Oryzias latipes: one gene and its partner. The protein of the gene in region 1 binds, or shares a complex with, the protein of each later gene. Links are inferred from orthologs where the notes say so. Each region holds a gene or a part of one and is shown in the gene's direction. Other genes may lie near its edges. The genes, in order: ap1g1 and ap1s1.

Region 1 (3,819 bases):
TGAAAATTGTTACGTTTGGTTTAAACACAAATTCCAGCATAAGGATCCCAGAATCTAAGATTTACTCAGTCAACTTCTGTTTGCATACTGCAAAGCCTAGAGGGCGCTGCACATGGCTGATAATCAGCAGGTCACAGGTTAGAGTGCAGGTTTGTTCTTAGTCCAGCTGCTTTGGGAATTTAATCTATGTTTACCAAAAAAAAAACTTTAGTCACTATGTAAATTATCCTTAAATAGGGAGCAGTTGATGGTCAATCACTGCATATCCTTCAGTTGGAATATGGCAGCTAGAACTGTTTTATACAAGTAAGAGATGTTTTATTATTACCCAAACAGTTCAACTTTTTGATAATTCACCTTAGTAAGTACAGCTGTAAATGCGAATGTGATGTTTGTGAATGACTCATTAATCAGGATCCTTTCACAGGAAGAGACCATATGGTGTGAGATTTAGAAATATACTTTTGCAGAACCACAGCTTACAAAAAGACTCAGGATTCCCTGTAAAAACATGTAGTCTGTGCTTTTTAAACTGTTTGAATGGCTTGACTTGTATTTAATTGACTGTTTTGCAGTGCAAACATGAATCTTTTTTTTTTTCCAATGTTGACCAAATGAACAAGTAAAGAAAATCCAGTTTTGATACTTTGGTTCTTTCTTAATGTAGTTTTACAGAAAAGGGAATAAAAACAAATCAAGCTGCAAACTGGGGCATTTAGAGAACTGGAAATGCTTTCTTATGGTACGGATGATTTCTATCTTTTCACCCAGGTGTTCTCCACACGTCAGTCGTTCTCCTCACTGAGATGTGTGAAAGAAGTCCTGACATGCTGGCCCATTTCAGAAAGGTACACATTTTCAGATTTTCTCATTTAAAAACTTAAAGCAGGGCTATTCAAATGGTGCCCTGTGGTCCACATCTGCTAAGAGCAACTTCTGATGGGCCCAGGGCAGAATCACACAGTGCTAGTTATAAAAAAGTAATGCTTTTTTTTAAGTAATCCTCACACCTGTTTATCCCATGAATTTAACACATTGAGTAACCTAGGGTTCCTTTTTATATTAATTAAGAGTAAGTAAAAAAAAAGCTATTGCCCAACATTTGTCAGTCACAAAAACAAGGGAAAGCTCTTCCCTAGTTAACTCTGTAAAATAAAAGTGGCACAAAAAAGTATAATGTTTACTAAAAACATTTAAAGCTGTAATAAAGCTTTGTTAAAGTGCCAGAGTGCCAGTCCCCAGAATCCAGCACTACCAAATGTCAACACCATGTGCAGTTGAGAAGTGCTTCACCAGACCATGAGCTATTTGTACATAAAAGGAATCAACAACAATTCCCATTTGTAATGATACTGTATTAGCCTATATTTGCATCTTAATGTACAAACAATAAAATATCTGTTGTTTTGTGCCAAACTTGGCTGATAAGCATCCCTTTTTACTTATTTTTTTGATTCATTTTAAAAGTAATTTTGTTTTCAGAGGGTTTTAGAGAAGTCACAGAAATGAGTCTACTGGACTCATGGCACTAACCTTATTTTTCCATCCATTGAGAATTTGTGCCCCCCCCCCCCCCCCCCCCCCCCCCAAATGTAAAGTTTAAAAAAATGTGTAATTGAATAGCCCTGTCTTAAAGTATTTGTCAAAAGCTCATATCACATTTCATTCTCTCTTTGGTTACACATTTTGTTAGTTTAGTTTGACAAACACAAAGTAAAGCTTAGGGGATGGACTGCACCAGAGGTAACCTCTGCATTCAGAACATGTTAGTCTTTTATCTCCTTCGACTGTCTCTTCCTCTGTTTTTCCTCAATTGCTGCTGTACCTGTACCTGCCAAAAGCTCCATTTATCATACTCATGATCTAAACATTATTTTAAAATCTGAAAATAAATGATTTCCAGTTTCCCCTCCCTAACATCTACTTCATATTTTTTCTGTCATTTGTCTTTGTTACAATTCCTGCATTGTGTTAGAATGAGAAGGTAAGAGTATATTCTGATCTCATAGCTGGTGCATGTTATTTTTAGTAATCACCCCTCACAGTCACAGTCCAGATGTAACAACATTTCTTTTGAGTATTGTCATTTCCTCCTTTTAATTTTTAAAGTTTTTGTTTAATTAACATGTACAGTGATCATTACTATGTAAGTGTCTTCAATTTGATCAGTTTCTGTCCATTTGTTGGATGCATTGTTCACTTTTTTGTTTTTCGCTTAATGCTAAATTTGTTTAGTCGCTGTATTGAAATTTAGCGTTGTGGGTTTGTTTTTACATTATAGGTACAGGTGTTTGTGGAAATGGATTTTTCTCTCCGTATTTTTGCCATATTTGGAATCAAAGTTAAATATTTTTTTAGTCAAAACCGTGCACAACTTTAAAGCTTTATTCAGCCATATGTACTGTCGGCCAAACCCAGGCAACTAAAACTAAAAAAACATTTTTCTTTTTTTTTTTTTTTACAGTAATTGAATGTTATTTGAATGTTTTTTAAATTAGTTTTGAGCGGCATCTAGCTATAGCTCAGTTACCTGCTGTTTGCTATATTTGTCTTTCATCTCTTTTAGAAAATGTTAGCGTTCTGCAAATTTAATATTGACATTTTGCTCTTTTCTTGAAGGCACAGTTAGACTAAAAAGGATTTACAGTGGTCCCCCGTTAATCACTGCAGTTAAAAATAACCTGTGATAACTTTTCTCAGACCAATATTATCCCTTTCCCACTTTTCTCGTGATTAAACGCTCAAAGGGTCAAACATTTGTAGAAAAATAAGTGCAGTACTTTAGAATGAAAACAAAGCTCTTCGTTGCAAGCTGAATGCATTCTGAGTTACGACACACAAGAGATTGATTGGCAAGGTCTACAGCCAATCAGGATGCAAAACACAATGTGATGTAAAAGAGAAATCGTGCAAAAAAATCTGTAAAACTGCAAAAGGTGAACTGTAAGATAAAAACTAAAGCTGTTTTGGATGGATATTCCCCCACCACATAAAAAAATCGTGTTCATTTTTTTTCTTTTTTAATTCCTGACGATTAGAAATCCCACTTGCAAACATCTTTGTTTAAAATTGTTTTATTTAAGGGAAGGTCTCAAATCTAAATGTTCTAACCTACTATTTTGTAAAATCAAGGCTATAATTTTCTTAACTTCACTGAATTACCTGATTTTATTTTTTCCAACTGCATTATATCAGTTTAGTGGAGCACATGCCTTTTCCCTTCCCCCACCTGAATTTGCCCTTATGAGTTAAATTTACTTTTAATTTGTTATGGTAAAATAGCAACTAATATTAGTCATGATAAGACAGAGAGCTCATTAGGTGTTTGACGCAGAATATTGTGACATCTGTTCTTTCTCTTGTGTTGTTGGTGTTTTTCTAGCTGGTTCCACAGTTGGTGAGAATCCTGAAGAACCTAATAATGTCTGGATACTCTCCAGAGCATGACGTGTCAGGCATAAGTGACCCCTTCCTGCAGGTAGTAACGCACATTAAAAGCTGTAAATAAAGACCTAATGTTTGTGCTGAACAATTTTAAGAAGTATATTCATTCTTCCTTTGACTTAATTAAGGCTGTTTTGGTTTCTAGGTGCGGATATTGAGACTACTGCGAATTTTAGGCAAAGGTGACGACGACTCAAGTGAAGCGATGAATGACATTCTTGCACAGGTTTGGATAAAACCAGTGAATAATATGTTTGGATGAAAAAAGTCCTCATTCTAACAGAGCCGTGTTCTGGCAGGTGGCAACAAACACAGAGACAAGTAAAAATGTAGGCAATGCAATCCTCTATGAGACTGTCCTGACTATAATGGATA
Region 2 (4,436 bases), on another chromosome or scaffold:
GTTTTGTGAATTTGCACATTTGCAGCCTTTCTTTCCGTACATTTCCATACGTCTTTGTTGTGGTGCAGGTTTGCTCCAAAGCTACAGTCGCTGTTTTCAGGTTCAGGGGAGAACTAATGGAAGGATTATAAACAAGTACCGTTATTTAGATTTAAATCTGACTTTTTGCTTCTGCATACCTGGGACGAATAGATGAACTGTACAGGGTGAACCGCGCCTTTGCCTGATGTGTTTAAGCAAGCAACAACTTTTATTGAGAAGTCGATGTAAACACAAGTATAAGTGTGATTCAGGCTTCAAATCTTAAGCATTCATGTGATGCAACAGAAGTTTTCATGCCAGTTTTCGAGCTCCACGCATAAAACGCACGGCCATTAAAAGTAAAACCTACTGAACATTGACCAATCAGGTACTTGGATTTGGAAGAAATATTTGGATCCCGTCCCCCTTCATTCACAGAAGTGCCAATCGTTTGAACGTGGATCGTGGAGGAGAAATGAAAAAATGTGGTTCCGGCTGGAATTCTATGACGCCAAGTCTTTTATGTATCGGAATAGAGCTGTGAAAGAAAAAGTCGGAAGCGAGATTCATGAGATTTGCATCACTTTGGCATTTCACGCCAAGCCTCCTCTAACTGTGAGAACATGCGCTAGTATCGGGTAGCGACAGATCAGTGTGTACACCATGCGTTCAATAACCCGCGTTCAGCGTGTTCTTGTGATGCTCATGTGTAGTATGACAATGGCTGGGATAGGCTCCAGCAACCCTGTAACCTTAAAAAAAATAATTAAGCTGGTTAAGAAAATGAATGGATGGAGTTGCAGTGTCTGCATATTTATTATTTTAACTAAGGATGATATTTGAACTCTAGCAGCTGAGAGCAGCTTCAGTAAAAACATTTGAAAAGGCTAAAATGGAACAAGTGACTCCCCAACACTAAATGTTGGGGAGTCACTTGCAAACACTAAAGACCCACTCTGATGAAAATTGTGTTTTGGTGTCTTTAACACGTTCTTGTGGCATTTTTCTGATGATGAAGGACATATATGAAGAAATTTAAACTTAAAATGTGTTTATGAGGATTACTTTATTCAAGTCGTTGTGAATCAGGAGCAGATGAGATAATTCTCTTTGAAAAAGATTGCATTTGTGACATAGAAAATATGCTGGTGGGCCACCAGCTCCCTGCTCGTTCCTTCGTTCGTCCGTCCGTTAATTCGTCCGTTCCTTTATTCATTCAGTCATACATACATACATGCATATATGCATACATGCATTCATACAGTCATACACAAACACACACACAATGCATGCATAAATAAATACATTTTTTTATGGTTTGATTTTACTTTAAAATGTCATTTATTGTCTTACATTTATTTGACAATGTTTACATTTATTTATTTTCAAATATTTAAAAGTTTTTACTTAATGTCCTCAACGTCATAGACTAGCATACGCGGATGTGTAGTGCGCATGCTCGGTCTTAGGCGGAAGTGCTCGGCTACCCGGACCCGTTGCAGGGCTGCGGTTGAAACCGTCGGTCCGTATCGCGGCTCTGCAGCTGTTTTTCGGTCCGGTTCGAAGAGCTCAGACATGGACCTTTAGCGTCCGCCGTGTCTGCGTCGTTGCAGAGTTCGTCCGTGTGCCCGGAAGAGTGCTCCATAGCCGGCAGAGAATGGTAAGCGACCGCCGCCACTCTAGAGCCAGCTGTGCTAATGATGCTAGCAAAAGCAAGGTGTACTGTTCCAGGAAATGCTCACCTGCGCTCCGTTTACCTGCCTGAAGGCCAGGCCGCAGCCCGGGGGGCTGCTTCGACCGTCCTGATCCACACGTGCCTGGAAAAGTAGGACAGGTGTTGGTAGTTTGAGATCCACAGAGCTTTAGGGTGCAGATTTAGTCCAGCCAGGTGTAGCTGGCGGCGCAGAGCGTCGTCCCTCCCGGACATGATGAGGTGGCCAGGTGAGGTATACCACCTGGACCCATCATCAGGCGGGATATCACCTTTGAATTGTTGATCTTAAATCAAATAGAATTGGTGAGGGCTCTGCATCCATTAACTATGAAATAGTTTTTAATGGAGAAATTAATTAGTGTTGACTTTGATGACGTGTCATCATCTTTGCTTTCATTCTATAATACTTGAGTTACTTTTATATGACGGTTTGAACTCAGAGTTTAAACAAGAGAAAAGTGTGAAAAGGTTCATGTCTGTTGGAGAAATGTGTATAAAATGTGCAACGATGAGTTTTACGGCCTTAAACGTCTGTAATTATTTGTGGATTCGGCCTATTTTTTTTTTAACGTAACACCTACGATAAGTGAGGAAACGCTGTACACTTGGGCCATTCTGAGGCCTGTTGGTTTATTGGGCGCAAAGAATGTTTGTAAACTAGAAAGACATTGGCACAAACTCTTCACGCCAAGCATGGAGGTGAAGTGTGATGATATGGGCTGGTTTGTTGTTGAGTGAACACCAGATGTTGCAGCTTTGCAGCATCTGGCTCATGTGCTGCTCACCAGCAACACTCAAGGTGTGCAATCTTCTAGTCTTGTCTCCCTGCTGGGCACCATATAGTTGACATCCACTTGTGCACATGCTGGTGTGCCGCTGTTTTCGTGGGTTTTCGGTTACCCGTGAGCTGTGCTCCTGATAACACTGCAGTACTGAGGAAGAGGAAGCATGGGGAAATGAAAGCTTTTAGGGTTTTGTTTTTATATTTTTTTTATTTTAATCTGCCCATTTGAAAAATGAGACTATAGGAACAAAAGATGTGTCTGCAACAAGCACCGGGCTTCAATCCGGCTCAAAAGAATCGACTTCAATCTCCACCTTCAACAAATAAAAGATTGCTGCTTTTTCGACGCCTGTGGTCACATGAGCGTTTGGGTCACTGAAGTCCGAGATCATTGACAGGATCCCTCTGGTGACACGAGCACTGATAAATCTGGAGCTGTTCTACATAAATAAAAACCACGTTCAATCCTGATTTCTGTGAAGGACTCTTGTAAATACACTTTCTAAAAAAAGAGTCCGGTTGAATGTCTCCTCTCCTAAGGGCTTTAAAAATGAGTTAGACCTCATTCAGCTCTGAAAACCTCTGAGTGAAGCTGCCCGGTTCAGACGCTAAATTTAACTTCATTGTAGCTTCATATGTTATTTATAGAGCACATAACCCAGACTGAGGTGGCATTTCCTGCTGATTTCAGTGAAACCTTATGCAAATGAAGTCCTTAACAGGCACACTCTACATCAACTTAGCTCTATTTTATGAAACTTTGAAGTTCAAGCGAAAACCACATTAAGTAGGTCTTTTGAACCTTGATAGAAAATTTGATTTATCATGACAGTTCTGGGGCACCTGGGAGTTTTGTGGCGTGTGGTCATATTTTCAGGCTTTAAAGGAGTTCTTGAAACTCTCAAATGTCCTGGTTCTTCTCGTCTGTCTGACAGATTCACAGCTGATCTGTTCCTCCTTTTGGAAAATGTTGGGAGCAACCATTGAAGGTCTTTTATGGAAGCTTAGCATTTAGAATCACATGATTGTTATTTGCACTCAACTACGTTTCCTGTAAGTAGGGCTGCACGATATGAAGAAAAACTCGCGATATGCGATATTAGTAATTAATATTGCGATAACGATATAATTTGCGGTATTTAAACAATTAGCAAAACAACCAAAAATATTATTCCCATTCCATTACAACAGCTTAAAAATTATACTACAAATGACCCTTGTTGACGTAGGAGGCGAACATACAACATAATAGGGCGCCATCCGATTAGTTAACAACGTGAAGGGGTCCATCTGATTGGTCAAATGCAGAAAGGGATTCTTTCAATCCATTAAACACGTCAAGCTGCCATAAGATTGTTTGGCCACATCTAAGGTAACCATTTATTGCAAATTTGCTGTCTTTTGCGATATGCATATTGCACAGCTTGAAATTGCGATAACGATAAATTTGCGGTATATTGTGCAGGCCTACCTGTGAGCTTAAAATGCGTCGCTCAAAAACAAGAAAAGGTGTTCTGAACAGATGAGAATCATTCACGAAAAAGAATCGCTGCTACAGAATTGAGCGGCATGAAAGACTTGAAGATGGAGGACATGGATAAAAAAAAAATGCAATTTTGGAGTATTTCTTTATTCAAATCACTGTGAATCAGGAGCAGAAGAAAATATTCAGTTGGAATAAAAATGTATTTGTGAAGCAGAAAATACGCTGGACCGCCCACAGTCTTCCTGCTCCGCTCCATTCTGATGCATCCACTGTCAGAAACATAGATCCAAGAACGTCTTTGTTTTCCTGGTCTGAGCTGGAATCTGGATCTAAGATGTACGGCTGGAAAGCTCCAAGATTGCTCGCCATTTTTGTTTAGGCGGGGGGCATGATGGGGCTGAAAGCTAGCGGTATAGAGTGTTACCAAAAGG

What was found.
Region 2: the proteins of ap1g1 (region 1) and ap1s1 are in contact, whole or in part, in a crystal structure (PDB 1W63), measured with the Mus musculus proteins. The link is inferred for Oryzias latipes from reciprocal best matches to the Homo sapiens genes AP1G1 and AP1S1. Residues at the interface, in NP_001288140.1 of Mus musculus: Leu7, Arg8, Ile11, Arg12, Arg15, Leu54, Tyr55, His57, Met58, Gly60, Tyr61, Lys78, Phe79, Thr80, Arg83, Ile84, Leu87, Met90, Leu91, Asp94, Glu95, Thr115, Phe117, Leu123, Cys124, Gly127, Cys128, Tyr152, Lys155, Lys156; in NP_031483.1 of Mus musculus: Met1, Leu14, Arg15, Leu16, Gln17, Lys18, Trp19, Leu21, Ala22, Thr23, Asp25, Arg28, Lys29, Arg42, Lys45, Met46, Cys47, Ser48, Phe49, Glu51, Lys56, Gln74, Asp75, Asn76, Glu77, Leu78, Ile79, Leu81, Glu82, Leu83.

Annotation. Positions count from the first base shown.
Region 1 is NC_019861.2:21,105,504-21,109,322, reverse strand, and holds part of ap1g1 (AP-1 complex subunit gamma-1), read left to right. Parts: intron 1-771; coding exon 772-848; intron 849-1,975; coding exon 1,976-1,984; intron 1,985-3,382; coding exon 3,383-3,478; intron 3,479-3,589; coding exon 3,590-3,670; intron 3,671-3,743; coding exon 3,744-3,819. UniProt on the Homo sapiens protein: Subunit of clathrin-associated adaptor protein complex 1 that plays a role in protein sorting in the late-Golgi/trans-Golgi network (TGN) and/or endosomes.
Region 2 is NC_019876.2:26,354,700-26,359,135, reverse strand, and holds the start of ap1s1 (AP-1 complex subunit sigma-1A), read left to right. Parts: upstream 1-1,476; 5' UTR 1,477-1,678; coding exon 1,679-1,681; intron 1,682-4,436. UniProt on the Homo sapiens protein: Subunit of clathrin-associated adaptor protein complex 1 that plays a role in protein sorting in the late-Golgi/trans-Golgi network (TGN) and/or endosomes.